Oryzias latipes: one gene and its partners. The protein of the gene in region 2 interacts with the protein of the main gene of each other region in a biochemical or structural test. Links are inferred from orthologs where the notes say so. Each region holds a gene or a part of one and is shown on either strand. Other genes may lie near its edges. The genes, in order: flt3, syk, receptor tyrosine-protein kinase erbB-2 and ptpn6.

What was found.
Region 1: of the proteins of syk (region 2) and flt3, one has a biochemical effect on the other in vitro, tested with the Homo sapiens proteins (2 studies listed by IntAct, with this or other methods). The link is inferred for Oryzias latipes from reciprocal best matches to the Homo sapiens genes SYK and FLT3.
Region 3: the proteins of syk (region 2) and receptor tyrosine-protein kinase erbB-2 form a complex in vitro, tested with the Homo sapiens proteins (2 studies listed by BioGRID and IntAct, with this or other methods). The link is inferred for Oryzias latipes from reciprocal best matches to the Homo sapiens genes SYK and ERBB2.
Region 4: of the proteins of syk (region 2) and ptpn6, one has a biochemical effect on the other in vitro, tested with the Homo sapiens proteins (2 studies listed by BioGRID). The link is inferred for Oryzias latipes from reciprocal best matches to the Homo sapiens genes SYK and PTPN6.

Annotation. Positions count from the first base shown.
Region 1 is NC_019878.2:17,428,027-17,432,494, forward strand, and holds the start of flt3 (receptor-type tyrosine-protein kinase FLT3), read left to right. Parts: upstream 1-1,447; 5' UTR 1,448-1,548; coding exon 1,549-1,579; intron 1,580-3,994; coding exon 3,995-4,071; intron 4,072-4,164; coding exon 4,165-4,316; intron 4,317-4,397; coding exon 4,398-4,468. Other genes in the region: PAN2-PAN3 deadenylation complex subunit PAN3, read right to left, coding at 323-653. UniProt on the Homo sapiens protein: Tyrosine-protein kinase that acts as a cell-surface receptor for the cytokine FLT3LG and regulates differentiation, proliferation and survival of hematopoietic progenitor cells and of dendritic cells.
Region 2 is NC_019870.2:27,545,733-27,549,640, reverse strand, and holds part of syk (tyrosine-protein kinase SYK), read left to right. Parts: intron 1-1,275; 5' UTR 1,276-1,331; coding exon 1,332-1,733; intron 1,734-3,908. UniProt on the Homo sapiens protein: Non-receptor tyrosine kinase which mediates signal transduction downstream of a variety of transmembrane receptors including classical immunoreceptors like the B-cell receptor (BCR).
Region 3 is NC_019877.2:7,404,828-7,408,735, forward strand, and holds part of receptor tyrosine-protein kinase erbB-2, read right to left. Parts: intron 2,652-3,908; coding exon 2,497-2,651; intron 2,422-2,496; coding exon 2,368-2,421; intron 2,282-2,367; coding exon 2,143-2,281; intron 2,058-2,142; coding exon 1,935-2,057; intron 1,850-1,934; coding exon 1,751-1,849; intron 1,669-1,750; coding exon 1,483-1,668; intron 1,399-1,482; coding exon 1,243-1,398; intron 425-1,242; coding exon 349-424; intron 1-348. UniProt on the Homo sapiens protein: Protein tyrosine kinase that is part of several cell surface receptor complexes, but that apparently needs a coreceptor for ligand binding. Essential component of a neuregulin-receptor complex, although neuregulins do not interact with it alone.
Region 4 is NC_019874.2:20,377,557-20,382,221, forward strand, and holds the start of ptpn6 (tyrosine-protein phosphatase non-receptor type 6), read right to left. Parts: upstream 2,903-4,665; 5' UTR 2,385-2,902; intron 2,073-2,384; 5' UTR 2,009-2,072; coding exon 2,001-2,008; intron 1,052-2,000; coding exon 929-1,051; intron 1-928. UniProt on the Homo sapiens protein: Tyrosine phosphatase enzyme that plays important roles in controlling immune signaling pathways and fundamental physiological processes such as hematopoiesis.

The DNA of each region.
Region 1 (4,468 bases), on a different chromosome or scaffold from region 2:
AAAAAGGCTAGCGTCCATGCACTCACAGCTGTCATAATGAAAACAACAGGCCTCTGCTGTGTGAGCTAAAGAGTGTGTTTCACCATTTATGTTATTATATATGGCTTACTATTGATGTGAAGACTAAACAAGTCACAAATCAATTTTTAACAGCGGGAATGTCAAGCTGCAAGCCGAAGGGTTATGGTTCTGCAGACAGAAACCACGTTTTGTTGTAAAGAGGCCAACAGAATCCTCGGGCTATCTTATGAAATTCCCCCACTGGGCCATGAGGTAAGGTCAGTCAGGAATCTTGTGCGAGGGGTTACTGTTTTGTACTCACTGGTTAGCAGCTGCCCTTCCAGGGACGTTCCCGCAGGCCCCACCGTTTCGCTCTTCTTTGACACCACGGTCCCTCCGCTGACTGTAGCCGTGCCGCCAATGGAGTACACCGCTGGCGTCCCTCCGCTGCCGGCCATTGATAAGGGAACCGGGCTACCTCCGCCGCCGTGAAGAGGCAGGTTTGCCAAGGACGGATCGTCGTGTAGGAACTGACATTCGTCTCCATAAAAGCACGTTTTGTCCTTCGCGTAGTAGCGGCAAAACTTCACCTTAACATTAGGTAGTCCGGCACCCCCAAGCGGAGCAGCTGAGGGTGGAAGTCCACTGTTCATGGCACCGCTGCTGCCGCCACTGCTGCCGGAAGACACTCGAACATAGAGACGCAGGGAGCTAGCGTGCTAGCTAGCAAGCTTTGAACAGTTTCCCCCCAAAACACTAGATTTAATTTGCTTTAGCCGATGAAAAAACCCATACTTTAGCGACACTTACATTATAAAGCTAGGGTGTATTTCGATTTGAGGAAAAGATGCTTATATGCTCGGGGTTCCGGGCTATCCATGCAGCTGCTGCCCCTACAAAGTAGCCTGTTGTTGTTGTTTTGAGCCTCCAGTCTGGCCGCAAAGCTGCAGCTAACATGCCTTTGCATTCTGGGTACCGTTCACCTGCTGCAAATGCATGCTTCACGTTAAAAAATCAGATATTTAAAAGAACACCCGGTCTGACAAAAAATGTATGTTCAGTTGTTCAAAACTAAAAATAGTAATAATTTATACTATTATTGTAAGGTTGGAATATTATACAAAGAAAACTGGAAACCATTCAAAGACAAAGTCGAAAAAAATGACAAATTTATAATAATTCAAAACATTCTATGTTTTTGTTCCTTTTTTCATGGTTTTTCACTAAATGTAATGTTTGTGAGGAAATAACTTTTCAAATATGTATACGATTAAAAACTAGTAACACTTTTATTTTTCAAAATAAAAGTCTTTCATGTTTTCTGAATCTGAAACAAGCGCAACAGTCTTCAAGGACAGAAGCTCCAAAAAAAAAAAAAAAAACCTGCCATGTTAATACTTAAGGGTGTGTTTTTAACAGTTTTTTTTAAGTGAGGCGTTATTTCCAGCCATACTTCCTCTGTTAAAAACACTGTTGCACACTTCTGCATGCAGACAATCCGCAACTCAACTCCCCTCAGAATATGTGACTCCAATAACGGAGAGCAAGATGATGTGGATCAAGATAGCTTCGACTGCCAGTGAGTACTGCTGTAAATTTGGGCATTATAATCAGTGGCGGACTTAGCAGTTTTGGGGCCCCAGGTGAAGAATAACATGGGGCCCTCTTCAGTGGTTGTATTTATCATTTTTTCAAAAAAACAAAAAAAAAACAAAACATAGAATAACTTATGTACTGGTCCTCTTTTAAATATATCAAGAATCCAAATGTTTTGATGAGCTTTAAAAAACTGAAATCACGTTTAAGAAATGTATTTTATAGTATATACATTATTCTTACTTGGAAAAACATTACATATATGAAATGTCAACTTTATTTATAAAGCACTTTTAAAAGCAGCAGAGGCTGACCAAAGTGTTTAACAATTAAAGATAAATGAAAGCAACAATCTAAAATAAACAAAATAATACAAAAGTAATAAAAATCAATAAAATCCCCAACTCATACTGAGTTAAAAGCCAGAGAGATAAACTGAGTTTTCAATGGATTTAAAATCATTCAATGAACGGGCCTGCCTAACTTGCATGGGCAGTGCATTCCACAAACTTATAGAAGCTTTTCTATAGCACAGCTAAAAATAAAAATCAATGCCAGAAAGGCTTCTGTAGCATTATTAAAAATAAAAGTCAATGCCCAGAAATGCTTCTGTAGCATTACTAAAAATAAAAGTCAATGCCAGAAATGCTTTTTTGTTTTCAAATTGAAGCTGTATTTGTTGACTCAAGATTAAAATGAAAAAGCAATCCGCCAAACCACCTTTTCTTTTTCTTCTTCAACACAGCTCATTCTATCACTTAATTAAAATGATAAAGAAAATGGTATTTGACATTTAATTTTCAAAAGGGTCTCTGGTAAATGTGTAGTAAAATTCAATTAGAAATATCTAATTTGACAATTAAAATGGATTAACAGAAATGCTTTTTCACTTTCACAATGTAACTGCATGAAATGACACAAAATTAAAATTAAAAATCAATCCTTTAATTATGCTTTTTCATTTCCTTCTTCAACATCGCACACTCTGTGACATAATTAAAGCAAAAATACAAAGAGGGGATTACATTTTTGTTTTCACATCCCCCCTCAAAAAGTGTAGCATAATTCAATTCTAGTCAGCATTTTCAAGAGAAGCGCTACGGAAGCGCTTCCATATTTCACAGCCCCTCGAATCACTTTGCTTCGTCTGACCACTTTTTAAAAATTGCTTTGAATCATCATCTAATCTCTACCAGTGATTGGCAGATAGATAGTGTTGCCAGATAGTAACAGTTTTCCAGCCCAAAAGTTATCAAAAGACCACCAGACCCAACAAAAAACTACCCAAAATACTAATCAGTGATTACTAGCAGTAATTAATCATCCATTATTTATTAATTCCCGATTTGATTGAAAGTCCAACTTTAACACATTTTTAATGATATTACATCCACCATTTTTGCAGTCAGTCAGAGAAAAACATGAAATAATGGACTCCTATTGAACTTTACTAACAACCACTGCTGATTTACTCAAATATTAAGGCGAATTAAATAAAAGGAAAGTGAAAAAACAAGAATAATTAAACACTAGCCTATAGAAATTCTAGTTTAACTTATTTACCAATCAAAAACAAAAGTGGAAATTGTTCTTGTTTTGTTACTATTCATGAATTTAGGTCAGATCAAATAAAAGCAAATGTCCTTGTGAAGCGTGATGATTTTTTATTTAAATTGTTTTTTTTATTAAATTTCCAAGTAGTAAATAAAACATTTAGAACTAAATCAAATATCACCTGAAACGACTCTAAAAATCTGTCATTTTTTTTACATAAATAAAAGATTGTTTATTGCCAATGATAAAATGGATTTGTATTACATTTATTTCATTTTTAGTTCTCCAAATTAATTCTATCTCAGTCAGTTTATGATGTAGTTTGAATAAAGTTGTAACTTAAAGATTTTATTGTTATTTTACATTCATAGGGGATTTTTTAAACACTTTTTTTACTTTAAAATTTAAAACTGAATCATTTTCAGTTCATGTTAGTTTACAATTCTTGCCAAATTGAAAAGACAACTGATATTTAAATCCACCTCTTGGATGTTTTTCAATGTTTTTCTAACAACAAAACAGTTCTGAAATTCAATCGTCACTTTAAATCTGTCAAGTCAAATGTGCCTAAGTTATGGTTAATTGTGCTTGTGTGGACCTATGATGATTTAGGGACCCATCAAGTATTTATAATTTCTTATAGCATTGCCGAGTCCATGTAAAATTTAATGGTAAATGTAAACTTGATTTGAATAAAAATGGATCTGAACACAGTCCGATTTCAAGTCTGGTCCTGAGCCTGTACAGGTATTATTCTACAAGTATTACTTTATATGGTGCTTATGAACAAAATTGTACAAAGAAAAATAATAATAATAAAAAGATGTTGCCACTTCTGTCCTAGCTTCTCTCTTGCTGTGTTTTCTTGGAGCTCTTTGCATCGTTGGGGCAGAGAATGACGTCTGTGTGCCAAGTATTCAGGTAAGAGCAGCAGTGGAAACATATAAAATAGTTCAAAGTTAGTTTTTATTGTTCTTATCTAAAATCCCAACATTGTTGAATTTTGTCTTTCAGACAGAATGCTTTAACACATCCGACTATGAGGATTCTTCTGGTATGGTCCGTATCACGATGCTACACGGTAAGGAGCTGAACATCAACGTCAACGGCCTCTCTGGTTCTCCTGTCTGCAGGTGGATCAGAGGAAATCAAACAATAATGACCTCGTAAGTAAACTCTGCATGAGATGAGTCTTCTCTATTTTCTTTATTTATAATCTGAACTGAATTTTGTCCTAATCATTTTAGGGACAAGACTCACTTCATGGTGATGCCAGATTCAGGCCAGTACACTCTGACTTGTTCTGGTCACAATATGA
Region 2 (3,908 bases):
TGTTGTAGACTTAAGCTGGTGGTGTGTGTGTGAAGATCGATTTTTCCCATATTGTGGAAAATCTGAAATATCACCACAATGGTCACCAAGCCTTAGAACCATTGACTGTATATGGAGGACTGGACTGAGCGAGTGAGACTTCACCCATTGAAAAATGCCTAACCCCCGGTTCCAACCAAATCAATTCAATTCGAGTCAATTCAGTCGCCATTTTTTCACGATATGTCTGCCGCCATGTTGTCTGTGACATGAACCAGACGTCGTCAGTAAGCTCCATTTCCAAGTGCTCCATGTCGATCTTAGTCTATATTTCCATGGCAACCACTCTCTCCAGTCAGTAGTGAGCATGTTAGAAGGCCTCACCCTTTCCACTGAAAGCAGGATCAGGAGGATCCGGAAATCAAACGCTTTGAACATTCAATGTGAGGCCACCTTCTTTTAATGAGGCATCTGATTGGTCAGTTTGTTACTTGAATGACTTTTACTGCAGCAAAAATATCATTAAAAAAATTAGGATTATCCAGAATATGTTAAAAAGATGTGTCAGAGTGAGAATGGTTATTCTGACCAATAGAATGACTGATTACAGCTGTTTCTTTTTCTATTGAAGTCTATTAGATTTCAGCTTTTTTGGAACCAGCGGGTACTTCCTGTTTGGAACACGGGGTGGAGGGGTCACTTAGTCCAGTTCTCATATACAGTCAACGGCCGTAGGTCCCACGGCCATCTCATGATAATTACAAAACTCCCTTTGTTTTGGTTTTCAATATAGGATTTAGAAATATTTTTTGGAGACCTATAAAAGATTTTGGCTAATTCATCTTTTGTTGTTTCCTTCTGCTGTGATTTATTCATTGGGGGGGGTTACAATGCCTAAAATTCATTGTCTATGTTTTCTAGATTTATGAAAATGTTGATGAGTTTTTGAGTAAGTATGAAAGCTGCAGTAAGAAAGAAGAATTAATAAAAGCAATCTGGTCTTTGTGGTCCAGGTCTGCTGCGGGACAGAATTAACAAAAAGAACTAAACACACTTTCTTCAAGTGTCTTTGTTGGAACGATTCATATAAACTGCTGTTTATAAAAACTACAGCAGCTTACTGACATCAACCTGACAAAAGTAAAGACAATTGTTTTGCTTCTAAAAGCAGGCGATACCAGCATCACCTGCTTGAGTGTCCCTGTTTCTGGAGTAAAGAACAACTTTTATCTGTTTTTTAGCTTCTCCTTTCAGATTTTGCAGTTGTAACTCAAGGTGACCTTCTTGTTTTCTCAGGGACACTTCATCCTGGTGGCCTAGTTTTGTGAGGAGACAAGTGTCCAACGGCCAAGATGGCTGACGCTGTCAACGCACTGCCGTTCTTCTACGGCAACATCGCCAGGGAGGAGGCGGAGGACTACCTTCGGCAGGCAGGCATGAGCAACGGGCTGTACCTGTTACGGCAAAGCCGGAATTACCTGGGAGGCTTTGCCCTTTCTGTCGCCAATGCTAAGCACTGCTACCACTACACCATCGAGAAAAAGCCCAACGAGACGTACGCCATCGCTGGAGGCAAGAGCTACAGGAGCCCCGTGGACGTGATTGACCACCACTCCCAGGAGACAGACGGCCTGGTGTGTCTCCTGAAGAAGCCCTGCAACCGACCCAAGAACATGCAGCCCAAAGTTGGACCCTTTGAGGACCTGAAGGAGAAGCTGATCCGAGAGTACGTGAAGCAGACCTGGAACCTAAGGGTGAGTTTGCCTGGCAGGGATCCTTTGTTCAGAAATCTGTTGTTTTTCTGTTTCTGAAGCATCTTTTCAGAAAGGTGGTGAGAGATTGTAAACAAGTAATCAATAAACTATGATGGCCTGAGGATCCAGGTGTTCAGGCGGGCTGGTGGATCTCTAAGCCCGCTTGGCTCCCATACTGTTTCTGTTGTTCCTGATCTGATCCCCATTTGTCTGAGTCTCAGGCTGCACTGGTGGCTCCTCCCTCTGTCCTCTGGGACACACTGTCAGGTTATAACGGATCACTATTTTGCACGCCTTTGTGGTCTCTGACATGTAAACTCCTGGAAGGAGACTGGAGTAGTCACAGATGTCTCCATGGCTGGCCAAAGCGTATTGTCCACCTTCCACTCTGATTCCACGCTTCATCACACCTAGACTAATCTGCTGAAGACAGACCAGTATGGAGTCCTGCAAACACGTTTGGCTCATTTGACTCCTCACTGCTCGAGCGTTTCACCAACCTGTGAGGGCACGATCCAACCCCAACCATCGATGAATCATCAAATGTGAAAGGCAGAGACTACAGTGAACGTATGTGAACTTTAAAGTCTCCTGATCGGCGGTTGGCTGCAGCAGAGGTCCCCTCTTTGAAGACGTTTATGTCAAAACATGAACTCAGAACCGCTCTGTCAGAAGCCTTCCTGAATCTGTCTGTTCTGGGAATCAGTTCCTTCACGAGAAAGAAGCTGAACTTTGCTGAGATCCGCTGACCCAGCCCACATCTCAAAACACAGCTTTTGTTGGAGGTTTTTAATTGCCCAATAGCCCAGACCGAAAGTAAAAGAACAGGAACCCGGAGATAACAGAAATAGAACATTTCTACTGTATTCTGACGCAAAGGTTTAAAAAAACAGCCAGTCAGAAAGAGCGACTGAGCGCGCTCAGATTCCAGATTCCAGATCCTGAACTGCATCTTCATCTGCCGTCCTTGCAACCCAATGATGGTGGGGGGGGGGCAGTTTGATTTTGAAGAGCGATAAGTTCAGTTTGGACGTTTGTTTGTTTCTCTCATCCTTTGTTCTGAACGGATGAGGAAGACTCAGAGGCGGTCTCTGTGAGGTGTGAATTTCTGGTTCCGGTCCTTTAAATGATGACGTTACCACAACGCAGCATCCTACCTGAGCAGGTGTGAACATCGCTGGCATGGCTGGGGGGTTATCTCTGCAGCCAATAGCTTCTAGCAGATTTCACAGTTTTCTGTCTTCAGAAGAGACCTCTAGGTTGAAAACCACTAAAACTGGTTTTAATTTAAGCCGTTTTTCTGTGTTTATATGTTTTCAGGCTGTGTGCAACACAATGAAGTCCATATGTCTCTCCGTCTGGGTAACAGCCTGTGACTTTTGCATAAAAGTCCTCCTTACCCTCTATCAGAAATTTCAGAAGTCTCTCAGTCTGAATACAGATGTGTCAGTTCAACGTTGATTTTTTATTTTTTTGATTGAAAGTCCAACTTTGAGACATTTCTTAATGACATTTTATCCAGCATTTTTGTCAGCCAGAGCGAAGCAGAATACTGACTCCAGACCAGCGTGAGCCCACAAACACCCTCTATAATATAATTGAGGCCAAGTTACTGCTTACCTCACCTTCTGTGTTTTTTCAGTGCAGCTTTATGTCGGATCCATTAAAGAAACAACAGACAAACATGAAAGAATAACTGTTAAATGGAAAGCGATGACACGTAAAAAGATGCATAGAAACTATTTAATAAAGTGTTAAATTTATTAGCATATGCTGAATAAGCCAAAGGCAACCCAGTCTGCATGGGATTGCACAAGCCTGCGTGAGCTGTAAAATGAACAGGAAATGTGGTAAATACAGTAATTTTGAGGATAAAAATGATTACATTCATACGTATAAATGACCTTTTTAGCACAGATTAGACTAAAGGTTTATTGTATTACTGGTACACGTTTAATGATGGCAGGTAAGGAGGATGACAGGTGAGGCACTGGCTCACCTGTTTGATCGCAGGTCTCTGCAGCCAACCAGACAAATGGTTGTTTTCTCATCAGCTTTGGTGGTGAATGGAGCAACAGGCAGTTTTCACACAGATATTTTTACACACTTGTGCGGAGGCTGATCTCCGGCCTTTGAAGCTGCTTGATGTGTGAGAAGAAAAAGCTGCCAGTTACA
Region 3 (3,908 bases), on a different chromosome or scaffold from region 2:
CAGAATTTGTATATTAATAACAATAAAAATAACACTACTTAACTTTATTTGATATTCATTATATTTAATTTATCTGTGTATGTGCTGTATGCAATCCTGCAAAAACAATCTATTTTGATCATGAGTAATTAAAATGTCAAGAAAATGGCATAATCTTCTTTCATCTTTGTTAATTGTCTAATGAATAAATTACTTGATATCTGAAATGGGTTTGATATATTTTATAATGTTTTGCTGGTACTACTGCATTATTTTTAATGCTTGAAATAAATAAAAATCCAATTAAATCAAATGTAGGATTTCCTTTCTGTGAACATTGTCATTAAAACTGGAAGAAGTGAGTCTGACCGTAGCTCCACACGTCGCTCTGATGAGTGAACCTTCTGTGCATTATTGACTCCAAAGCCATCCATTTAATGGGTACCTGGAAATACGGAAACACCACTTTAAACATAGAAGTGAAGAAACTATGAAGCTACGTACACACTGGGTGTGTGCATTGAAGCACGCGCTAAATGTTTAGCTCATGTTGTTCACACTGGACAAGCAGGGAGGGGCTTTTTCTACCGTTTACTAGTCCACCACCTACAGCTGGAAGAGGCTTGGTGTGAAATGAAAGACTTGGCGTCATATCATTCCAGTCGGGCAAAAAACAAATTATTATTTCTCCAGCATGATCTATTTTCAAACGGCTGGCACTTCCGGGAATTAAAAGGAATACCATCCATACGTCGCTCAAGTTCAACCTGGTTTAACTTTCAACGTGTTCAATGGACGGGCGTTTAAAACATGAAGCCTGAAAACAGTTGTAGAAACTTACGCCTGTTTCCACAGACAATAGTCAATATCCTTTATATTGACTTTTCATCGGAAGCGGCTGCTTGAATGCACGTCTTTATTTTAAGCAATCCAAATCAGCTTCAAACTTAAAAACCTGGCATTTTGGGTCTTTTAGACCATTTTGTTCATTAAAAAAGTGTCAGGTTTTGATTGAAGGGCTGTGGGAAAAAAAAGGTTATTTTTATTGCACACAACACTTCAGCCAATTTTAATTGACCCAACTTGGTAGAAGCAATCTTGTGACTGGATGTAAAAAGGCAAAGACAGTAGAGAAAACAGGTAGAAAACAGCCAGTAATCAATTACTTCCAGATTGATTTTATACCAACATTATCTTGTTTGTATCAGTGTATTTTAACAGATACTGCTGTTTTTTCCACACACACACACGTGTTTGTTTTACCTTCCCTCCATCAGCATGATACTCGGTCTCGTCTATATCGAGCAGACGGGCCAGACCAAAGTCCGTGATCTTCACGTGGTTCGGGTTCTTTACCAGAACGTTGCGGGCGGCCAGATCTCTGTGGACCAACCGGATGTCCTCCAGGTAACTCATGCCCTTCAGACAAACACAGACTCGTGACGCCACACAGCAGCTGTGAGAACAGGAAGCACCTAAACTGTCCGTTTCCTCGCTTTGTACCTTAGCGATCTGGACACACCAGTTCAGGAGAAACTGCGAACCGATGCAGTCCTTGTTCTCCCGGACGTAATCCAGGAGACAGCCGTACGGCATCAGCTGAGTGACCAGCTGCACGGTGGAGGTCAGACAAATTCCCAGAAGGCGACAGACGTAGGGGCTGGTGACCCCCGCCATCACATAGGCCTCCTATGGGGGGGGGGATAAAAGAACAGTGAACTGGACTCTAGCGAGCTGTGCCTATGAAGGTGTTTGCAGAGTGTTTACTCACATCCAGGATTTCTTTGTTGGCCTTTGGAGAGGTGTTCTCCCGCAACACCTTAATAGCTACAGGTATTTTAACAGTTTCCCCTTCAGGAGTCCAAACGCCCTAAAAATGTTTGAAAAATGATCAAAAACTTTGGCTGCAAATCTACATTTTCCTACAAATTCAGATTTGCTGCCAGAAAACTCACCTTGTGGACGGTGCCGAAGGCCCCTGCACCCAGAACCCTCAGCTTCTTCAGCTCGGTCTCCTTCAGGATGCGCATCTGGGCTTGGTTAGGAGATGCGCCACTGGGAGTCAAAGGCTCTACTAGCTGCAAAAAAAAAGTCAGAAAAACACCCCCTTCAGGATCTGGCTTCAGCAAAGCTACAACAACTCCCATCTCTGTCGCTGCTCACCTCCTGCTCCTGCAGGTACCTCCTCACCGTCTCCTTCCTTTTCAGTTTACTCTGTCGCCTCAGATAGAAAACCAGGAGAGCCAGAAGGATGAAGAAGAGGACCACTCCACCCACTGCTGCTGCTATAGTAGTGCCAGGTCTAAAAAAGAAAACACGTTTTGTTTCGCTTTATTAAAAAACATGAGAGGTTCAAAGAGGAAAAACATTTGAAAGTGACGAGTTTACCCTGTCCTGGTGTCAATAGGGCAGCCCCGCTCATCCTTCACTGAGCAGCTGAAACTGAAAACAACTCCACATGAATCCCCTTCTCTGTCTTAAAGAGGCGTTTGTGCCTTCAGATGAGGGTTTGCTTACGAGAGGGTGCAGTTAGTGTTGCATGGCAGACAGTGGCCGGTAGCGTTGCTGTATTTCCATATGGTCTGATGTTCCTCCTTCACACCACTCGGACACTGCTCCACACAAACCTTTCCGTCCCGGAAGTGTCGACACTCCGTACAGTCCTCCGGACCCTGGAGACGCACAAGCAACATCGAACAATCTAAAGTGGCTAAAAATATCATCATGTTTCTGATGAGTTTCCCCACCAGAGATTATTTTAAAGATTCAGAAAAAATTCCCACCACTTTGGGCGCTCTTTGGAGTCAACATAAAAAATGCAACAACCTCCTGAAAAATCTGACAGCAGCTAAAATCTCTGAGCCCCTAGAATTCATCACCAAGCTCCCCCCAATAATAGTTAGAAAGACTAACTACCGTATGTTCCGGACTATAAGTCGCACCGGAGTATAAGTCGCACCAGCCCAAAAATGTATTATAAAGAAGAAAAAAACACAGATAAGTCGCACTGGACTATAAGTCGCATTTTAACTTTCACAACCTTATATGACACAATCATAGCAGACTGTTTATCTAATAATTTCACAGTAATTTTTTCTCAAACTTATTTATTTATTCCTTTCATGAAGCATCATTGGCCAACTAATACTCTGTTTTCATCCTGTATTTGTAGAAACAGTTGTCATTTTTATTGCATTTCTGAATCTATGAAATCATTGGAAAATAGAATATTATGTTGTTAGCCTTCAAGATCTTACTGTAAAAAAAAGTTTGCTGATTCTCTGAGTCACTTAACATCCTCTTAACACTTAACATACCTCATACATCAAATTGACCCAGGAACATCATCTCTGTTACTCACATATGAACATAACAGGAGGGTTAACAATGTATTTATTTCAATTTATTTCTAATATAAGTCGCTTCAGAGTATAAGTCGCACCCCTTGCCAAACTATGAAAAAAAGGGCGACTTATAGTCCGGAAAATACGGTATTATTAACCAAAAATGAAGAATAGAAATGAAGGATGTCAGGAAAAGTGCTCATGGATGCGAGTTGTAGAGCTGCTGAAGGCTCAAATACAAATAAAGAAAAGAAAAACACGAGGCTGCCATTTCTACATTCAAAACTAGAGAGAAATGTCCACAATAATAAAGAGTCAAAACATGAGGAGACGTTTTAAAATGAGTTCACACAAAACCTGTGATGTCAGTGATGTCACACAGGTGTTTTGGGTTTGATTGGATCAAAAACAAACTGGGCTAAAAACACAAAATCTGTCTCAAAATTCAATCAAAATACTCCTAAATGTGTTTTATAGAGCAATAAAACATCTAAGTGCGGCTGCATACTGGTTGCAATTGATTTCTAAATCACATTATTAAGAAGGAACAAACAACAGCAAATAAAGTAGAAAACCTTAGAAAGA
Region 4 (4,665 bases), on a different chromosome or scaffold from region 2:
GAAAACTGTTAACGGTTTCTTTGTGATGGCAGCAGGTACAAAAGCACCAGGTGAGGACTTTTATACTCAGTAAACCGACATAAACGTGATGGTCCTTTTCAGCCTGGCTACAGCTGCGAGCTTATCAAATATCGAAGTCAATCGATCCTATTAAAAGATTTTTGGCAGCATGTGTAACAACAAATTTATTTTCCATATTTTTAAGCTCAACTTGGGCGGCCAAAGGAGGAGAAATATTAGAAAAATGCGGCTTTAGCATCGGAATAAATAAAAAATCAGATTTAATAGACAATTTTACAAACAAAAATAACATTTTTGGTTCATCAAACTGTCGATCAAGCTTTCAGACTCTTTTTTTTTTTTTTTTTTTTTTTTTTTACATAAAAACATGTTTTTTCTGTTAGAATTATTGTTTTTTAATCCAAATGAAAGGATAAGAATTAACCAAAATGCATTTTTTTCTAAGAAAGTGGCCTTGGGAGTAAGTAGATCATTTAGAGCTGTGCACTTTTTCACACAAAATTGGAAAGTGCTAACTGTTTTCACAAAGTGGAGCTTGGAAAGGGATCTTTTGCTGTAAGAAGTTACAGATAAGACATCTAAAATGAGCAAATCTGACTAATTTTCTGCTGTTGTTCAAAGAAGATGCAACCACGTCTTTTGGAGTTCTGTAACAACCTTTTTTTTCAATCCGCAAAGTTTTATAAATTATAAGAATCGCTTCCATTGCTGCTACTTTTACTCACTTTAAGAAAAGGCCTCCAACAAAACTGGCATGTGTGCGTAGATCATTCGCATCAAAATATAGGCCCTGGCGGGAGCCTGCAGCTCTCAGCTTATTTTCTTATCATCAAATAAAGGCTGCAAAACTTGAAAGAAGTTTTGCAGATGCAGCTCATGTGCTGCATCTGTTCACACCAGACATTACCTGACAGACAGGGAGAAATCTCCAACGTTTTTCTTGCTGGGTCGAGCTAAAAAGCTTCCGTCAATGCCTCGCAGCTTCAGTATTTCCTCAGCCTGCAGGCCTGTGATGTCTCTGTGGAACCACCTGGATCGACGCACAAAGATAGAAAAGATGAAGCACAACAACATTGACCTAGTAGAAGGCATACATGTGTCACATAGATTTAAAATGTACAGCTTTAAATAGACCAAGAAAATCCAGGTGCACGCATACGCAAAAGAGAGATGGGAGTTTCTCGACAAGATCAGGGGTGCAAGAAAGTGTAAAGATGGAGAGAAAAGCTGTACTTTTTAATAAAAGAAGGGAAGAAATTCAGGTGATGATCTTTTAAACATTATTAGGTTTCATTACAATCTTGAGTAGATTCTTTGTAAAAATCCTCAAAATCAACATATTCATTTTTATATTTTTTGTTTTAGAGTCTCAAACATAAATAATACTAAGGCAGAGGGTGACTTTAACGTGATAAATTAAAGGTTTTATTAAAGCCTTTGGTTTCACTGGCCTAAGAAAGATAAAAGACAATTTCATGTGATGAACCACAGTCCAAATCCTTGATCCAATAAGGGTTTAACATAAACCTTCAGAAACTATTTTCACTTTACCTACATGCAATTTGTTGATCATCAGGAAAACAAAGCGTGCATTAGGGCATAGTCAGTAATGCTGACGTACTTTAATAAATTATGTTGCTTTACAGCCTTATTAGCTAGACGAATAACCAGGTTTTTAAAATCTGACATATTGCACAAAAAAGGTTAATAACTGTTTTCGAACACATGATCTGTCTGACACTGTGGAGCTTTGAGGAAACAACAGAACTGAAACCTAAACACTTTATTTATGTCCCAGTCTCTTATACTGAACTTGCAGGGTTTAGCTGACGAGGGATCACAAATGACATGACAGAAGAGGAGCAGGACAGGCCAGCAGCAGGGAATAGACAAAAGGAGGAATGGAAACAGAGAAGTTGTTGCACAAAACACAAAGAACAAAACCAGAGTTTGATGTGTCCGGCAGAGGCTTGACTCACCGAACCATGGCGTCTCCTCACTTTTTCTGGGACTAAAGAGAAGAAGAGCGATTTGGGAAGAGTCGCTTGTTCCTGCGGCACATGTGTAGACTCAGATCACACACTTTGGCGTTGAAAGTTTGTGTAGTTTTTGCAGCTTCCTTACTTTTGGTCTACTTGAATTGTACATTTACCGCAAACACATTTGGTATGTCAAGCGCTAACTTGACCTTCAACTTAAGATATTTTTATCAAGAATCAATTAAATCTAATTGCCTTTGCTCTCCCTCTGGTGTAACACATTAACTTAATACCCACCCCTGCCCCGCCACCACCCACCAGCGGACCGCCGCTGACCCCGGTTCTCAGTCTTCCCTTCAACAGCAAAAGCAGGTAAACACTTACTCTCCTCAGCTGCTCCTGAAAACAACTGACACTGGTCGAGACGTTGACGCTGTATGTGTCTGTCTCCCCTCCTCTGCGTCGTGCTCATACGCTCTCCCCTTCCTTCCTTTCTACGTCTCCTTTCACAAAGTAGTGAAAGCAAGACAGGAACCAAAATAGCTGACAGGCCGGAATTCCTCAAGCAGATAAAGATGGTGTCTTTTTTTTTTCTTTTTCTTTTATTGATGACCAAAATAAAAACGTTGCCAATCTAAGAGCAGAGAAGGCTTCAACTCCATCACCTCCGTCTTCTGGAAAAACAGCTGCAGAGCTTCTTTAGATGACTCCTCTGTTCAGAGCTGTGAGACAACGGCAATTCCAACAGGCGTATGGTTGAAAAACACCCTCCAAAAAGGCAGTTCCATCTCCTCATCAATGCACAAATATGCCCGCTCTTTGTCTAACAGAAAGTATTTGCAAAGTTTCCTCCACCTGTCGGCTGAATCTGCCCTCTGTTCTTTACTTCCAGGTGTGTACGAGTGTGCGAAACACAAAGGTCAGAACAGAACACTTCCTCATTTGAACCTTCCCCCCTCTGCATGTGTGAGGCTGCATGTGTGCGTGTGCTGCTGCAAGCTGATATATCATGTGCTGTTGTCAACTGTTTTAATTTAAAGAACGCCGATCCAGCACCTTGAAAATTGCTGCTTTATCCTTATACGGAGTAAATTATCTGCAGCCACAAACACAAAGTACATATTGTGACTTTTAGGGGAGTTTTTTGTATCCCTAAAAACAACACAAAAATTTGCGTAGAAGCAAATGCACAACAAATGAAAATGCAAATACAGTAGCAATTATTTCATGAATTCCTCACAACCAGATAGCATGTAAGTGGAAAATAATGGTTTCCTACATGAGGTGTAAAATCGTTCAGTGACTAGCGGACTTTGGTGGTTTTATGTGTTTGCAGCAAAAAATTAAAGGAAAAAGTGAATAAGTGTGTAGTTTCTAGTACATGGTGCAGCTCTCCCCGCCCCTGCACCAACAAACACACACATGCAGCCCTGCAGGTGTCGTCGGGGTTAACGCCCGCTATTGTTGTTTGCATTATTTGCCTCACTTGCGCTTTGCAGTCAGACTTGGTTTGGGGTCTCTTTGTTTCTCAGATGTTAAGGCTTCAAATCTCAGACAAAGGCAGACGTTTTTCACACACGTATAGAATGGCTGTACACCTACAGTGATGGAAAAAAGGTTCCTGATTTGATCTTTTCACTTGGGCTATCAGGTTTGCTTGCACTGCGCTGCAAACTGATACTTTGAGCATTTTCTGCCTCATAAAAAAGGTGAACAGAGAAACATCTATAGTTTGTTGATCTTATTAAATGAACCAATCAGTAGGAATAGAATTGATTGAGTGCATGTTTTTTCTTCAGGGAAAAACAACTCCTTTATTTTGATTTTAGATATTTAGTTACTTTAAGCCCTGCAACAAATTGGCTGCTTCTCCAGGGTTTATCCAACAGTAACAGGGATAGGCTCCAACAACCCTATGACCCTGAAAGGGATTCAGCAGGTTCAGAGAACTGATGGATGGATTGTAGCTTTGAAGTCGGTTTAATGGTTGTTGTTACTTTAAATGTTATTGTTGCTTTTGATGTTTAAAAGTCTGAATATCATATTTAAAATGCTGCTATAAACAGCTGCTTGATGGAGAACTGAATTTGAATTGTGCCAGTTCCTGGCAAGCTAAGTAGCAGCTGTGCTAAAAACAAACAGCTATCTTTGGAAACATGGGCCCTATAATACAAAGCAGTCTGGAAAGTTGACGACTGAAGATAGACACCAAACTTTCTAAAACGCCGAGGGTCATTTTTTATGGAGAGGAGGATGTAGGCTTACTGAAGAAATGCCAGACGGAACCAGCTATTAGGAAAACAATTGAAAGCATTGTCTTCTTTGTTTTTCTCCTTCCTGTTCTGGGAAAGCGTTTCTCAACATAATTAACACCAAAATAACTCTAAATGAGTTTCTAAACTTATTTAGGACACACACAGGCGTCTCCTTCAACAGCGCTCAGACTCTTGGTTTTTAGTTTTTATTAGCTTAGCAACCACCAGGTGGCCTGATCCAGTGCTTTTGTATGCCGGTCCCAACTCAGGGCAAATGCAGACGGTTGTGTCAAAGAGGGTAACTGACATAAAGCCAAAGCCAAATCAGTCATGCAAATTACAAGCAGAACTTTTACACCGGATTGGTCATGGCCTGAGTTAACCACTACCACCGATAATGTTGACCTTCA